Caenorhabditis elegans: one gene and its partner. The protein of the gene in region 2 purifies or fractionates together with the protein of the main gene of each other region. This does not show direct contact. Each region holds a gene or a part of one and is shown on either strand. Other genes may lie near its edges.

Region 1 (8,129 bases), on a different chromosome or scaffold from region 2:
AAAATCGATATTTAAATCAATTATTGGTGAATCCGGTGTGTTGAGGCTTCAATGCATACATTTTTACTGGATAAATCTCCTTTGGGAATCCGGTTTGCAGTGCTTTCGAGACCATGTCCAGTTGAGAATCGGCGAACGCTTTAAGAAGCTCGGGCTGAATAATGAATTGTTTTAAAAAATGTTTAGTAAAAAATTGTTTTCGTGCAAATTGTCTTCGATATTATCCAAACGTGACGTTTTGCGATTTTCGCGCTAAAATTACAGTAAGTGGGGTCTCGACACGACAATTTTTGTGAAATACAAACGGGCGTGTGTCTTTAAGAAGTACTGTAGTTTAAAAACTTCATTTCTGTGGAATTTTCATATATTTTTCATAGTTTTTCTCTTTAAATAAATCACTTTTCAACAAAAAACTATGAGACAATAGTTTGAAATTACAGTATTCTTTAAAGGTGCACGCCTGCTCGAATTTCGCAAAAACGTGTCGTGTCGAGACCCCAATTACAGTATTTTTGACCCGAATATCGCGAAATTTCGAGTCTGGGTGAAAACATTGAAATTTTTGGCAAAATAAAAGAAATATGTCCTTTTTCAGAATATATTTTCTAAATTTCGAGACGAAACAACAATTTTAAATGAATTTTAATTTTAAATATTAAATATTTCGGAATTTGGCGTTTTTTATGCATGTCGATTCACTAACGATTTTGTACTACACGTGGGCAAGTTTATACAGTTTTTGGCTAAAATTTGTGAATTTGAACCGTTTTTCGGCGAATATTTGAAAAATTGGCAAAACTGGTTCAAAAACAAAAATTTTTTAAACTGTACAAACTGTCCAAAAATTCGTCGTAAATCGACACACCCTTCTCATTTTTTCAAAATTTTAATTGTTTTCGAATGTTTTTTTTGCAGAATAATTTGTAAAATGAGCCTTTTGTGAATTTTTTTTAATTTCAAAGTTTTTATTATTTTTTCTCAAACCAGCACCTCTGTTCTCGTCCAACTATGATCATCATCGTCGAATAACCGTTTCTCGTGATTTGTCACATTATCCTTGAGCACAATACATCCACCAGGTTTCAGTCCTTTCTGAAAATGAAAATTAATTTTAAAAAAATTGAATTATTTTAAATGAAACAGTTTTCAGAGATTTCTCAACTTTTGAGTCCACCACCAGGCCTGCACGTTTTTCGGGTTTTATCTTTTAAAAAACTGAAAAATCGAAAAATTTCAATTTCTGTTTTGTGGTCAAAATTGTAATTACAGGTAAGCAAATAGTTTAATTTTAAAATTGAAAATTAGGGAAATGACCGGACATAAGTTTAAAAACCCGATTTTTTCAATAAAAAGGAAAATTGAAAATTTAATAAAACAGGTTGTAAATCAAGGAGATCGTATTGATTGAAAAAAAATCCGAATGTTCCGGATTTTTCAGTGGTTTTTTTTGAAAGAAAATCGAAAAAGTAAATGTTTTTAATTTTTAAATTTAAATTTTTAATCGGAAAAAATGTACGAAATTGACTTTTTAATGTGAAAAATTGTTGTTTTAAAAAAAAATTTTAACCGATACAGATTTTCTAGACTCAGTTTTTTCGGTTGAATATTGTTTTTTACTATTTTTTCATTACAGAAAGAATCCAATTTTATTTCGCTTAAAAAATAACCGGAGCATCGAAAATATTTTTTTTTCTGTTTTACTCAAAGCATTTCAATTACCTAGAATTTTGTTTAAAAACTACATGCTTTATTTATGAACGTAATAAATAAGACCCCCTCTTATTTATAAACTTTCAACATATTTTCAGTTTTCAGTGCTATCTAGTGCTTACCGCACATCTTTTAAAGAAATCAACCAAATCCTCATCAACCAAATGCCCTGAAACCCATTGAATCCATATCAAATCATAACGTCGTTCGGGCGGTGCAAACGTCTGCAGTCCTTCGACGAATTTATCTCCAATTCGTGGATGTTTTCCAATATATTGATCACTTTTCGTGATCAACTCCTCGACGACGTCTTCCATATCAACTTTCGAGAAGAATGGCATTAAGAGATGCTTTGTAACACGTCCGATACCCGCTCCGCAGTCCAGTGCATAGTCAAAGTAGCCGAATAGATTCTGGAAAATATTTATAAAATTCAAAGTTGGCCCAGGGGTGACCGGCAATTTCAAGCAAATCGGCAAATTGTCAATTTTCTGAATTTGCCGAAAATTTGACAAAAACGACAATTTGCCGGTTCGCCGAATTTACCTTTTTTAAATTTAATTTTCAATTCAGGCAAACTGACGATTTTCCGTTTGCCGGATATCAATTTGCAGGAATTTCTCAAAGGAATTTTTATTAAGACGGAAACACAGTGCTTTTTTGAATTTTTTTTCCCGTTTTCTTCAGATATTTTTATAGAATTTACTGACTTTTCAGAATAGATGTAGGACAATTTTGTTGTTTTAAAAATTGAAATTCTGAAATTTCCAACAAAAAAACATGTGCAAACCCACAAGTTGGCAAAAATATTTTGCATTTGCCGTTTTTCCCGTTTGCCGAAAAGTCTAATTTCGGTAATTGGGCCATTTTTCGAAATTTTGAGCCACATAAAAAACTTTGAACCATTTTTGAGAAGTATTATTACGACATTCGTTTATTTGAGCACAATTTGGGCCTATACTTTCAAAATCGGGGTTTGAAAACCCCTATATGTTCGACCGAATGTTAATCTCATAAAAATTTGATGAAAATAAAATTTTCTACGGCTCATAAACGTATAGCCCCCGTCAGTCTCAAAATTTATACGATAGACACTTTTTGGCGTTTATCGCCTATATTCCGTCAAAAACCATTATTCATCATTCTTTCAATGTTGTTTTTTTTAAGGCTAAAAAACTTTCATGCAAATTTGTTAGCCGTGTCGTGGTTTATACGAAAATTTCAGAATTTATAAAATAAAGGAAAACGAAAATGTTTCTATATACCCTATTTATGTTCTCTGATTCCGAATACCAATGTGAAAAATTCAAAAAAAATTCCCTGATTTTATATAAATTTTTGTAAGCGACAAAAATTGTCGTTTGAATTTCACACTTGGTTACAAAAATTTATGAAAATGAGGAAAATTTGTTTTAATTTTTTCACATTGATATTCGGAATCAGGAAAATAAATAGGGTCTATAGAAAAATTCCGAACCTTCACTCCTTCTCTGAGTATAATAAATTTAAAATAAATACAGAAAATTTCAGTTCAGACCTCATTAAATTTGGGTATATTTCTAGGATCCGAGTTTTTACACCAGATTTACAAACTTTTAGCCTTTCACCGCCTTTTTATGCGCATTTCCCATCAGTCAACTCCAAAAAAATCGCAACTTTTGCCTCATATTTCAAGAATATTCCCCTTTCTCTCCCCATTGAAAGTCATTTTCGAAACAAGCGGAAGATTCGTCATATGTGGTAATGTGTGGCGTGCGTTGGCAAACAACAAGAAAGAATCATTCTCTGAAAACAAAAAGCGTTTTGGGTGCCAAAGTAATATTGAAAATCTGCCGTGTTTTCTCATTTTCCATCAAAAGAAAATGAGAAAAAAGTTTCGGCGTTTTATTTGATTTCCGGGAAAGAAGACTCGGAAAAAGATTTAATTGAATTTTTCATAGCAAACCTATATTGCAACAACTTTCTAAAAGGTCAGAAATTGCCGCGTAGCCTAGAAAATTGGAAAACTCTTCCAGCTGGTATTATTTCAGACATGGTGCATCGAAAATTCGAAAATTACAGAAATTAACATTTTGGAGCATCTGCCAGAAAATTGAGATTACAGTACCCCACTTCTGCCGAGAAATTCGAGGTGGAAGAGGTCTTACAAAATTTTCGGTCACGTGAAAATGGGAAGCGTTCAGGCTCCACACGACGGAATTCACCTAGTTTTCAGGTGAGAAGATATCGTACGAGGAGAATTGACCTCCAAATCCTGATCGTGACTACAGGTCGTCGTTCGGAGCTGTGGAAGAGTTTTGAAAATCTTCGACCATGAGAGAAATAGACAGGACGACCAAACATTTTCAGTGGAAGAGCTTTTCCTAGGCCATCAGGATGCTATTTCGACAGAGCTGAGTTATCCTCAAGTCGTTACGAGGTGTGGAAAAGTTTTCCAAAATCCCCGACCAGGTAGAAAATGAGCACACCGATTAAGTTTCTCCAGTGGTAGAGTTTTTTCTAGGCCATCATTATGCTATCTAGAAAAAAGCTTCGGCCATGGGGTTTTTAGGCCGTCTATTTATTTCTCATAACTTTCTCAGAAATTCGTCTATTTCTCAGAACCCCCCAATGATAAGTTTTTTGCAAAAAAAGTTCTGCTTTGCTCATCAGCCGTAATCAGGTGACCTCATTAGGCCTACCCAAACACAGATTTGTCATTATTTTTCAGACAAAAAACACGAAAAAAATCTTCACGCATGGGGTGATAACCTGATTTTAAATCTTACTGTGCCGGCTGGCGCGGCGAGCTTCGATCACTGAGCCGAAAGATTATGAAAACTATGGGAATGACGGCGTAGCCTAGAAATCGTCCAGGCAGAGATTCTGTCTAATTTTCGAGCATATATCTCCCAGTTTTGTTATTAATTTAAGTAAACTCAAACCTAGAAACAAGTAAAACGGGAGGGGGGGGGGGAATATCAGAAAATTAAATCTTGCGACACTTTTCCATTGATACTTTCAAGGTAATGCCCAGAGGTGTGCGGCAAATTTTGAAACTTGCGCATGCCGCCTTTTTTTTTTTCTAGAAAACAGTCAGAATTTTTTGTCGAATTTGTTGAAAATTCGCTAATATACTGTGAGTTTAGAAAAAATAACGAAAAAACTCGGAAAAGGAGGAAGAGATCTGAAATATGTAGATTTTTTTAGAAAAGACCAGAAATTACTGAAAAATTGGCATTTTTCGTCGAAACCCCAATATACTAAATTATTCGGATTTTTAGAAAATTTTCAAATTCACCATACAGTGCATTTTTTCCTACTTCTACGACTTTAAAGGGGGGAGCATTTATGCGGAAGGGTCTTGCCGCGCATTTAGTCATCATTTTTAGCAGTTTCTGTGTAAAATTCGCGTAGATCACATGAAGATCACAAAATATTTATCCCATATTTCGTATTTCTGTTGCTTTTTCACAAATTAATTGTGATCTACGCGTGATCTCCGCGAATTTTGAGCAGACTTTGTTAAAAATGATGACTATGTGCACGGCAAGACCCTTCCGCATAAATGCGCCCCCCTTTAAAGTCGTAGAAGTGGAAAAAAAATGCACTGTAGCAAAAAATCGAACATTTCTGTTCGATTTTTGAATTTCTCGAAATTTTTTAAAATAATTTTTAAAATAACATTTTTATTTTATTTCGAAAACTACCGATTTTAGAAAAATTCTAAAATTTCGATTTTTTTTGTTGATTTTTCGATTTTTAAAATAAAATTTCATAATTTTTTAAACCGATCTTTCTTGCTTTTCCTGAAAAATCGATGATTTCTATACCTTTTTCTTCAGTCCTTCAATAAATCGTTTCGACGCCGATATGTCGGGCGCGTGAAGCGCTTCGAATCCGCCGAGCATTCCGTTGACGTCCTGGCTCGCGCGGCTCCAGTATTCCTCCGCCTGAAAGAGAATAGTTGAAAACATTGTTTTGAGACTTAAAAATTTTTTTTTTAGTTTTTTTCAAAAATTCTTACATGTTATAGAGTTTTTTTTTCAAATTTTCAGCTTTTTTCAGAAAAACTTAGTATTTTCGATAATTTTAAATAAAAAAGTTTTTTTTCAAAAAATGTTTCGGTTTTTTTTTTAATTTTTGGTCTAAAATTCTCCGCAAAAGATTTGCGTGCTGGCCGAACTTTTTGATTTTGTACCTTTTCATAAACATCTTCACCATTGTGAATTCTAGAAGATGATGAAGAGCTCATTTTTGATGTTGTGACAGCTGCTCCGAGCAATCTGGAGACTTTTGTGACGAAAAGACGAGAGGTCACGGATATGATGATGATACTGGAAATGAGATATTTATATTTACTAGTTCATCGGGAAAATTATTACGAGAAAGATAAACAGACATGTGCGTTTTTTTAATGGAAGAGAAACACAAGAAAAATCTGGAAAACTAGGCCACGGCTATCAGTGTCGATTTACGGCATACGGTCTCGACACGACTATTTTTGTTAAATGTGAAGGTATGCACCTTTAAAGAGTACTGTAGTTTGTAACTCTCATTGCTGCAACATATTTGACGCTCAGCGAAAACTACAGCAATTCTTCAAAAGACTACTGTAGCCTTTGTGTTGACTTACGGGCTCGATTCTCGAAACGAATTTCTGCTCGAATTGTGACAGCCATATTCAATTTGGTATAGTCTTTTCGTATTTTTTGCCATTTTTCTGTTTTCTTCTAATATTTAATCTATTATTAAATTATGTCCGTAACTCCCTCCAAAATTAGAACTGCGACCGAACAGAGATTCGTTCCGCCCCATATTCCGGCCAATCAGATCGAGTAGGCGGAGTTCGAAGTCGCTGATTGGTTTGAAAAGTCGCGGAAATTTGCAAGTTTTAAGGTAGCGAAAACTGATGACTATTGTAGCGCGCTTGTGTCGATTTACGGAATCTCGATTTTCAGGAATGAATTTTTAATTACATTTTTTCGCTCAATTAATATTCTAAATAAATAAATAAATGATTTGAATTAATTTAATTTCATTCGAGCCCGTAGATCGACACATGTGCTACAGTAATCATTAGTTTTCGCTACGAGATATTTTGCGCGTAAAATATTTTCCCGTAATAACTCTACTCCGACAAACATTACGACCTCCATGGAGGCCTCCAGGTATAGGTGAGACTCTTGTATTTCCAATTCAGAGACAATGCGTCACTGGAAGAGAAAACGAAGCGGAAAAAAAAACACGGAAACCCAAAAATAGTGTTTGCCCCGCTCTATTCTTCTCCAATAATTTCTGTGTCTAATTTTGAAAGACTCCACCTGTGTATGCCTTCTCGACATAAACCCCCCCCCCCCCCCCTATCTTACATGGTACTGATAACACTTTCAGTCTTTCACACTTTTGGCGCGCAACGCCGCTCTTTTTTCGCGGCGAGCTGATGACGTCATCAATTTTTCATCGCTTTTGATTATCTTCAATGTTCTAGAAGGGCACATAGGTCATCCTTATTTTTTCCTTCTCTTTCTCGTGACGGCCCTTGTTGCGCATGCCCGCCCCCTAGAGCAGGGCGTGGCCTGAACGGCGGCTCCGAGAGCTACTCATTCTTGCCGCGTCACCCTCCAGCGCCACCCAAACTTCTTCGGTTCTAGAGATCGAGAAGAACGTATGATTTTTTAAAATTATAATTGTTTCTTTCGAAAAAAAAAATTTCATTTACAGTAAGCCAAACATACACAATCAACATGAAACTCGTAATTCTGCTATCTTTTGTTGCGACAGTTGCGGTTTTTGGTGAGTTTATGCTTTAGATAATACTTTTCCGCCAAAAATACAGTTGCCGGTCTCGGTATGGCAATATTTTTGTTAAATTCGAAAAGCAGTGAGTAATGTAGTTTCGAATTTTCGTTTCTGCTTAATTTTCATCAATTCATCGTTTTTCTCACGACTTCTTCTTTATGAAAAATCAATGAAAATTCTGACTAGGTCAGCTTAGGGGTGAGGTACCTAGAGACGCCACATATGCCAAACGGAAGCTGAGATCATTGGCTACAAGAATATGCTTTCAAATTCTGCAACGGACCTCTGGGAGTCTGGAAATTCTTGTCTGAAATTATGCTTTTGAATGCTCGAAAGTGGTAAGAATTTAGAATTTATTACAGAAAAACGTTTAATTAATAAAATTAGTTTTATACTTGAAACAAGTACTGTATGCACTGTATCAAAACACATTTTCATCTTTTCTAGGTATTCAACTTCACGTTTTTCTGTAATAAATTCTAAATTCTTACCACTTTCGAGCATTCAAAAGCATAATTTCAGACAAGAATTTCCAGACTCCCAGAGGTCCGTTGCAGAATTTGAAAGCATATTCTTGTAGCCAATGATCTCAGCTTCCGTTTGGCATATGTGGCGTCTCTAGGTACCTCACCCCTAAG
Region 2 (7,945 bases):
ATAAACCATAAGCTTTTGATGTTTTACTGAGGAATAAACACAGAAATACGGTGACCAAACATTGATACCAAGTGATGAAAAGCGGAGCATCAAGCTGAAAAAAGAATAATTATTGATGTTCGAGAATTGAACAATTTACCTGCACACTAGACAGCAAATACTTGTTGAGAAACACTAATCCTATTGAGAAGACCCTGAAATTGGAAAATTTAGTTGAATAAAGAAACCTGAATAGCGTACCAATATGCTGAAACAGCTGTGATGACCTGCTTGTAACTCTCCCATTTGGTTGGATTCTCACGATTTCTCATAGCTTCGAAGAGGGCCTAAATTAGAATGAAACGTTTATGAATGGTAGTTAAGGCGGGAGGCAGGACAAACATAGAACGTGGAAAACGTAGAAATGGAAGAGGACGAGAAACAGGCAACACCCGACAACTAGGCCATTGTTGTCGAGTTAATTGCGGGCATTGCTGCCGCAGTTTCTGCTCGATTATTCAGCTTTCTAAGGTTTTAAAGAGTTTGAATTCGTATAAAAATTATTTATAATTAATTGAGACATTTGTAAAAGTTTAACAAAGGTGAAAAAGTAGTTTGTTCACAATAAAATTAACAATATCGTGAGTAATTCTTTACCTGCTTAAGAAATAATCAATATCGAAATCGGCTTTTAACTTTTTTAAAAATATAATTTAATTTTTTAATTTGTGAGAATACAAACGCATTTATGGAGGGAATTACCAAGGAAATAAAAGAAATAAAAGAAAAACCCCTCTGCAAAAATTATTTCGGAAAAAAAATGTTTTCAAACAGAATAACAATGTGCAAACACGGCCACGTCGAATTACACAATATTCTATTTACAGTAACGTGTCTGCGTTTTTGCGTGACTGTGAATGCAGACGCAAAAAGACGTAAACGTTTTTCACGGCCCGGCAAGTGGTACATCCATGCAAATGCGCTCTACTGATAATTGGAGTGTAGACCTCTCCAATTTTTTATATGCATCATAAAAAAATACCACTTCTCGGGCCGTGTTTTTTAGACCAATTTTTGAAAACGGTTTTTCAATATATTGTTGCAATAAATATCTACTTTGTTGTTTTCTTCATGCAGTTTCATCGTATTAAATTAATTTTTGTCAAACAATCACTGTGGTTATGCATATAGTTCTCGATCAAACCATTTATGTTCCTCACGTTTATTAAATATCGCATTTTCGATAGCTCCTCATGTTTTCTGAAAACGTTACTTAATGGTGTTTTCAGAATAAAAATTAACTTATTTATTCTGACTGCCATTTTTTGTTTATGGGAGAACACTTGAACTTCGACGGCGCGCTGAGCAGAGTTAGTGTAACGGGCGCTGGCAGCTGACTGATACATAACGACGAACACTCGAAAAGTAGCACTTGTAACTAAATGCTAAATCGAAAACCTACCGAGAGCGTGAGAGATGGCAAGAAGTGGCCATAAATCTTTGTATCGGCGGTCTCAAGTGACCAATCCAACTCGATCTAGTAACATTACACGATGCTCTACTGTCAGATTGTTTTTGTTATTCTCTCCTCTCCCTTTCAGTTTTACTAAATTTCTATTGTTCATTTTCTTTAAAATAATACAAATTCTTGTGAATCACTGGATAAAATAACATATTTCAGACCTTCTCTTTGGAGCTCCAAATGCTCTTTTCTTTTTACCTCTGTCACTCTCTTTTCCTTCTAGTCTATCGCCTCTCGCTCATTTTATCAAATCTTCTCGCCGCCGTTGTCGAATGAGGAGGAGGAAGACGGCTGCGCCCATTCCTCTCGGTTTCCGCCGCCTTTCCTTTCTTCTCATCTCCTCAAATATCCATTTCCGTACGACAAATCGAAAAGAAATTCTTCGCATTACGCACCTGATTACCATTGTTTTAACATATAAATTGCAGATGGCGGGTATTCTTCGTCGACTTCGGAGATCCAATAAGAAAGCTGCCAAATTTAGATTTACAGTTACTCTTCAGGTTCGTTCTTGATACTTTTATCTCAATTGTTTATTATTTTAGGAATTACATCTCTACACCGACGAACAATGGAAACCAGAAAACCTTGCAGTTTCTTTCGTTCATAGGTGAATACATTTTCTTATCAAAGAATAATAAATGTCAATCAGAAAATAGACACAATGCATCATGATCATTATGGAAATTTGAAAAAAAAAGAAAAATATTCACAAGAAAATAATACGAATCGAAAATAAATAAAAAATTGTTCATGAAACCTTTATCATACAATTTTTACAGACGACGAAAAGTATCATCAAAGGAACGAAAATGGGAAGAATGTTCGGACGCTAACAAATGTTTGATTATGTGGCCTGAGCAATTTTCAGAGAATATAGATATTCTTACAACATTATATCGTATTGCAAGTGATGAATATGAAGATAAAGAATGGACGATTGTTGTTGAAGAAGTAACTGCTAAAGGAAAAAGAAAAGCAATTGCAGCAGTGCCACTCAATGTTCGCTTATTTATTCTGGATCTACCCGATCATAAAAGTGAACTGAAGCTCAAGCTCCGTCCATTGACGCCTCATTTGAAATTGTGTTCCCTGATTATTCTTCTTGGAAGTTCTCTTATTTCGGAAGTAAATGCAGATGATGTTAGTATTACTTCGTCAGCTGCAGCCTCTTTTGTTGAAAAAGTTCCAGTAACAGATGAAGTTGATGCGAGTGCAAATGATTCCAGAGCAGCAGGTATTTTGATTGAAAAAATACAGTTTATTTCACATAATTTGTTTTTTTAAGCTGCAAGACAACAAATCGACACGACAGCTACAAAAATGATGGAATGGATCAAAGAGGAAAAGGAAATCGCTCCGCCTATTGTTCCAGCACACCGAAAACCTTCCGGAGAGAATGAAAACCCTGCAAAAGGTAATTAGAAATCGTTTTTTAAACCTAATCGTTAGAATTTTTGGCTAGAATATTTTCATGGAAAAAAGTCATATAGCCTAAATTCGTGTGTGGTCATCAAAAAATTTGTAGATTTTTTTCATTTTTTTTTCAAGGAACATCGAAAATCGAAAAAAAAATTCGAAAATTATCCAGAAAATGATATATCAAAATTTGTTTATGTTGATGAAGAAAAAGGATTAAAAAAACCAAAATAAATACTCGAAATTTTTTTTTTCAATTTTTCGGAAAACGAAAAATCGAAAAACCGACACCCGTGGCTCTTATAGAATGTATTTCAGTTCGTCCCCAATGGAGAGTATCAGCTGAAGAAGAAAAAACGTCACAACCAGCAGCTCCAGCGCCAATTGCAACCAACAGACATAGTCGGTCAAGCCGTGCTTCGACAGAAGAAAAAGCGTCTACAACAATAGAATTCCGTGTGGATTCCAATTCTCGGCATGTTCCAGTTACAGCAATCGCTACACCATATTATCTTCAAAGTGGAACAATGAGTAGAGGGTATTGTTTGGTTACTTTTCTCACAATCATAATTTTTTTTCAATTTCAGAAGATCAAATTCTCCGAGAGCTCCATCTAGAGATGCTGTCCCTCAACCGATCGATGGAGAGACTTTACTTTCATGGTGTCAGAGAGTTACTAACGGATATTCGCATGTAAAAGTTAATGATTTTATGAAATCTTGGAACAACGGATTGGCCTTGTGTGCAGTTCTTCATTCTTATCGCCCGGATCTCATTGGAGATTACGAAACACTGGATATCTCTAATAATATGTCTGGACGCATTTCGAATATTCAAAGAGCCCTCGATTCACTTACTTTGATAGGAATAACAGAAGTACCAACAGTTGATATGTTTCTGACTCCTGATCGGAAACAAATAGAATTTCTTCTTCAACATCTTCGCCGAATCTTTGAAGGATTTGACGAGGGATCTACACCAGCCAGTGCTTCTGATCACAGAATATCCAGAACATTTGGAATTAATGAATCCGAAGAAAAAGTTGTTGCCATGATTACAGAAATTCGAAATCAAAAAGATCTCGAAGAAGCTGTGGATTATAGACACATTCCTGATGAAGTTCCTGTTACACCACAGTTGGCTAGTCGCAATCCGGCTCTCAATCAACCAACTGACGCTGATGACGATGATGCTGAAACTTCAAATATGCGCTTTGAGAGAAGTAATGTAAGCATAACCATGGTGACTCCAGGAGTTGGAGCAATTCGTGCATCGGTGAGTTTTTATTGAAAAAAAAAATTTTAAAATTTTAAATATTTAGTTTTTGTTTTTTTGTTGAATTTCGAATTGAATAATGCTAATTATTTAAAATAGTTATTGAAATCTTTTTTCACTTCAATTCTACCATTTTTAAGATACTTTGTGTGTATAATATAACTGAAATTATAGGAAAAAAACAGGTTCTTTCAATCGTCAGATTTCTTGGTATATTTTCTTATTTTATTTTTTTAATGCAATTTATAAGGTTATACATAACTGAACATTTCCTACTACCATATAACAGCTTGATAAAAATTGCGACACAACTTAAAAAACTTATTAAATACTCGCCCTTATAAAACTCAATTACATTTGTTCCCAGCGAAATAGTCTAATCAATTCTTTTTCCTAATAGATATCCAATTTTACGAGATTCTTATTTTTGAAAATCTTTACAACTTTCAGAATCGTGCATCACCTTCAAAGCGAGATGAACTACGCCAAAGAGCACGTGATTTAATTGAAAAATCAACAACTCCTGCAGCAACACCAAATTCACGGAAAGCGAGTGATGAAGAGAGAAGACGCGAAGAGGTCAGACGGATGCTGAACGAAAAGCAGCATCCAACGGGTGAGAAGTTTTTAAAAACACAAAAGTTGTCGTGATTCTCTATAGTAATCTCCTTTGTTGTGATTGTTTTAATTATTTCTACCGTGTGTTCCCATTTCAGCAATCCCCTCTACTTCATCATCACCATATCCCACTTTCCGTCGTATCGATGGATCAAATACCGATCTTCGTCGTATTGGTTTGTAACATTTTCAGATCATGCTCCGATTTAATTGTTTTAGTGTTGTGACAAAGCATGTAGTGAATTTATTTTCAGAACTCGATGTACACAAGTTCAAGAAACGTGATCCATCTCCGACGCTCGTCCGCAAACAATGTACATTTTATTATTTCCTCATAGTGCAGTGATTTTTAACATGTCAATTGCATTATTAGGAACAATTTCATCTTAATTTTGTTTTAATTACAGACGATCCCAATGATACTCCTCATGTGCCAGCAATTGGTCGTGGCAGAACAAATGGAAATCGGGTCAGTCATTAATATATTTAAATTCTCGGCATTTCGTGCCTACTTTCTCCCACCTTTTCGCCTTCCGGCAAAAAGGTGGGAGAAAGAAGACGCGAAATGCCGAGTTAACAGTTTAATCCCGAATAGAGCATTATTGGCAACACCGATTCAGGAAAAATATGTGTACCTTTAAAGATACAGTTACTTCAAATCCTCGTTGGTGAGGTATTTTCATAGATTTTTCATAGTTTTTCGATAAAACTTTTTTTTTTATAAAAAACTAAAATAAAACAATAAAACACACATAAATTTAAAAAAAAACTATGAAGAATCGATGAAATATCGACAAATACGAGAGCTTGAAACCTTGCGTCAAGACCAGCTACCGTATATTTTGTCGCAAACTATTTTGTCAGTGTAATAAGTTGTCTGATTTTCAATTTTAAACATTTGAGTATTATTTTAAGCTTTAAATATGAATGTTGTCAATTAGCTGTCAATACCACTAGCAATCCTCATTTCTATCTAACCATAATTTTTCTTTCGTCGATATTATCTTTAGTTCTTCTCTGTTCTATATTTTCTTTTTTATCATACACCGCATTGTACAGTATGCCTAACAAGTGTTTTGCTCACATTTCAGAACGATTCATCAACTCCTTCATCAGCTTCTACATTTGATCGTGTCAAGAGATATGGGAGTATGCGTAGTGCAGAATTGAAAGAATCGTTGCAGTTGATGGCGAAACAATACGGATACATGGTTTGTGATGTTGTAAAAAGTGTAATGTAATGATTTTTGCTTCTATTTTAATCAACATAAAATTTAATCATGGGTGCAAATTGAAAGTTACCGTCTAAATGTTATTATTTTTAGGGAAACGATTTCGAATCATCTTCGCAAGACGCTCTGGCGACACCAACCAAAAAGTTCTCTTCCCAATGGGAAAAAGACGTCGATGACGTTGAAGGAACCGCCAATGAGCTTGTTCGTATTGACGAACGTATATCGGATATTACAGCACAAGCCGATGTAAGATTCTGAGAATTAAAGGATTAATTCAGTTTGTTTTGTTTTCAGGTTATTCAAGACAAGATCCGTGAAACAGAAGTTGGAAGTTCAGAAGAAGAAATGTTGACTGCATCATATCTTGAGTTGACAAATGAACGGAACACTCTTGTACATCGACAGGAATACTATAATATCATTGAGACAATTCGTCAGGTTACTTCGGAAATTGACCAATTGGGAAAACAAATCAATGAAGTTCCTGATGATTTCCCTCGTTCTGATGAGAATAAGACGGCAACGGATAAACTGATTGAACAATATAGTGATGCTATGAAAACAAAAAGTAACTTGGTTCAAAAGTTATTTGCAACTGAGGACGAAATGTAAGTGTTTATTGCTTTGTTGAACCACGTGGTGTCAGGCTGTCCCATCACGGTTTGATCTACAAAAAATGCTGGAATTTTTCGCCTAAGAAAGTGCCGTCAGCACGTTCTTAACCATGCGAAATCAGTTGAGAACTCTTCGTCTCAACTTCCGAATTTTTTGTAGATCTACGTAGATCAAACCGAATGGGACATTCTGACACCACGTAATAAACTACTTTCAGTGAAACTAATGAAACAACATTCGAAATTTTCAGCGAAGAAGATTCGGATCGTTTGAAGAACCTTACTTTGGATAGGGCTACTCGCTTTGTTCGTGGAATAGATCAGCCTGTTTCAGCATCGAAGCGACTTATTCAATGGTGGCGCCGTTAATACGCTTCAACGTTATTTATTACTCAATTTAAAACTACGGGTCTTCTTCTCTTTCTGAAAACAAAGTTTCTCCCAGTGTCCCTTTGTTATCTTCTATCATTTTTTCTCCTTTCCATAATTCACTCTTTCCCGTTTTTTTGGCAAATTTTTAGGAGTTAATCAAAACATCAAATTTTTCTCTATCTTTTCATCTCTATGTGTATATTTTTGTATTCAGTTTTCTTTTCTCTCGGTGCACACAAATCCAAATGCTTTCAGCTTTCAATAAATCAATTCAGAGTTTTAAATGATGTTCAGCAAAAATTCATTCGAAAAAAGAGGAAAGTGTGTGGAAGACTGGTGAAAAATACTTTACACGTGGAAATATTTAGCGTAGAGATCAAACAAGTGGGATAGGAAAAAGCAAGCTCGAATTGTGAGGGAATGTACTGAAAGAAAAAACAAATAAATTTGAGAAATTGAGTGATATGGTTAAAAAATGAATCGCATTTTGCAGGAAAAAATACTCGTATGCATTAATTTGAAGAAAAATAGATGAGAAGAATAAACTTAATATTGTACTCTCATATTACGAGAACACTAAATCCTGAGAAGGCGTATTGCGCAACATATTTGACGCGCAAAATATCTGACCGAAAACTACAGTAACTTTTTAAATGACTACTGTAGTGCTGGTGTCGATTTACGGGATCGATTTTCACTTATGTTCGAATTGCGACAGTGATATTCAGTTTTTCGTATTGTTTTGTCATTTTTGTGTTTCTTTTAATATTTAATCGATTAATAAAATGTTTCCGTAAATCGACACTAGCGCTACGGTATTCATTTAAAGTGTTACTGTAGTTTTCGCTACGGGATATTTTGCGCGTCAAATATGTTGCGCAACACGCATTCCCAGAATTCAGTGTTTGTGT

Evidence for each region.
Region 1: the proteins of ehbp-1 (region 2) and homt-1 fractionate together in Caenorhabditis elegans (co-fractionation; one large-scale study listed by BioGRID). This does not show direct contact.

Annotation. Positions count from the first base shown.
Region 1 is NC_003279.8:4,205-12,333, forward strand, and holds the start of homt-1 (Alpha N-terminal protein methyltransferase 1), read right to left. Parts: upstream 6,027-8,129; 5' UTR 5,945-6,026; coding exon 5,891-5,944; intron 5,643-5,890; coding exon 5,523-5,642; intron 2,124-5,522; coding exon 1,833-2,123; intron 1,093-1,832; coding exon 991-1,092; intron 155-990; coding exon 17-154; 3' UTR 1-16. Other genes in the region: nlp-40 (Peptide P4), read left to right, coding at 7,437-7,485. UniProt on the Caenorhabditis elegans protein: Alpha-N-methyltransferase that methylates the N-terminus of target proteins containing the N-terminal motif [Ala/Pro/Ser]-Pro-Lys when the initiator Met is cleaved.
Region 2 is NC_003283.11:9,548,715-9,556,659, forward strand, and holds ehbp-1 (EH domain-binding protein 1), read left to right. Parts: upstream 1-1,929; coding exon 1,930-2,004; intron 2,005-2,046; coding exon 2,047-2,111; intron 2,112-2,283; coding exon 2,284-2,738; intron 2,739-2,789; coding exon 2,790-2,918; intron 2,919-3,238; coding exon 3,239-3,458; intron 3,459-3,507; coding exon 3,508-4,195; intron 4,196-4,645; coding exon 4,646-4,811; intron 4,812-4,911; coding exon 4,912-4,989; intron 4,990-5,067; coding exon 5,068-5,127; intron 5,128-5,220; coding exon 5,221-5,282; intron 5,283-5,904; coding exon 5,905-6,024; intron 6,025-6,138; coding exon 6,139-6,294; intron 6,295-6,342; coding exon 6,343-6,656; intron 6,657-6,913; coding exon 6,914-7,031; 3' UTR 7,032-7,318; downstream 7,319-7,945. Other genes in the region: nstp-10 (GDP-fucose transporter), read right to left, coding at 1-94, 140-194, 241-326, 1,096-1,122.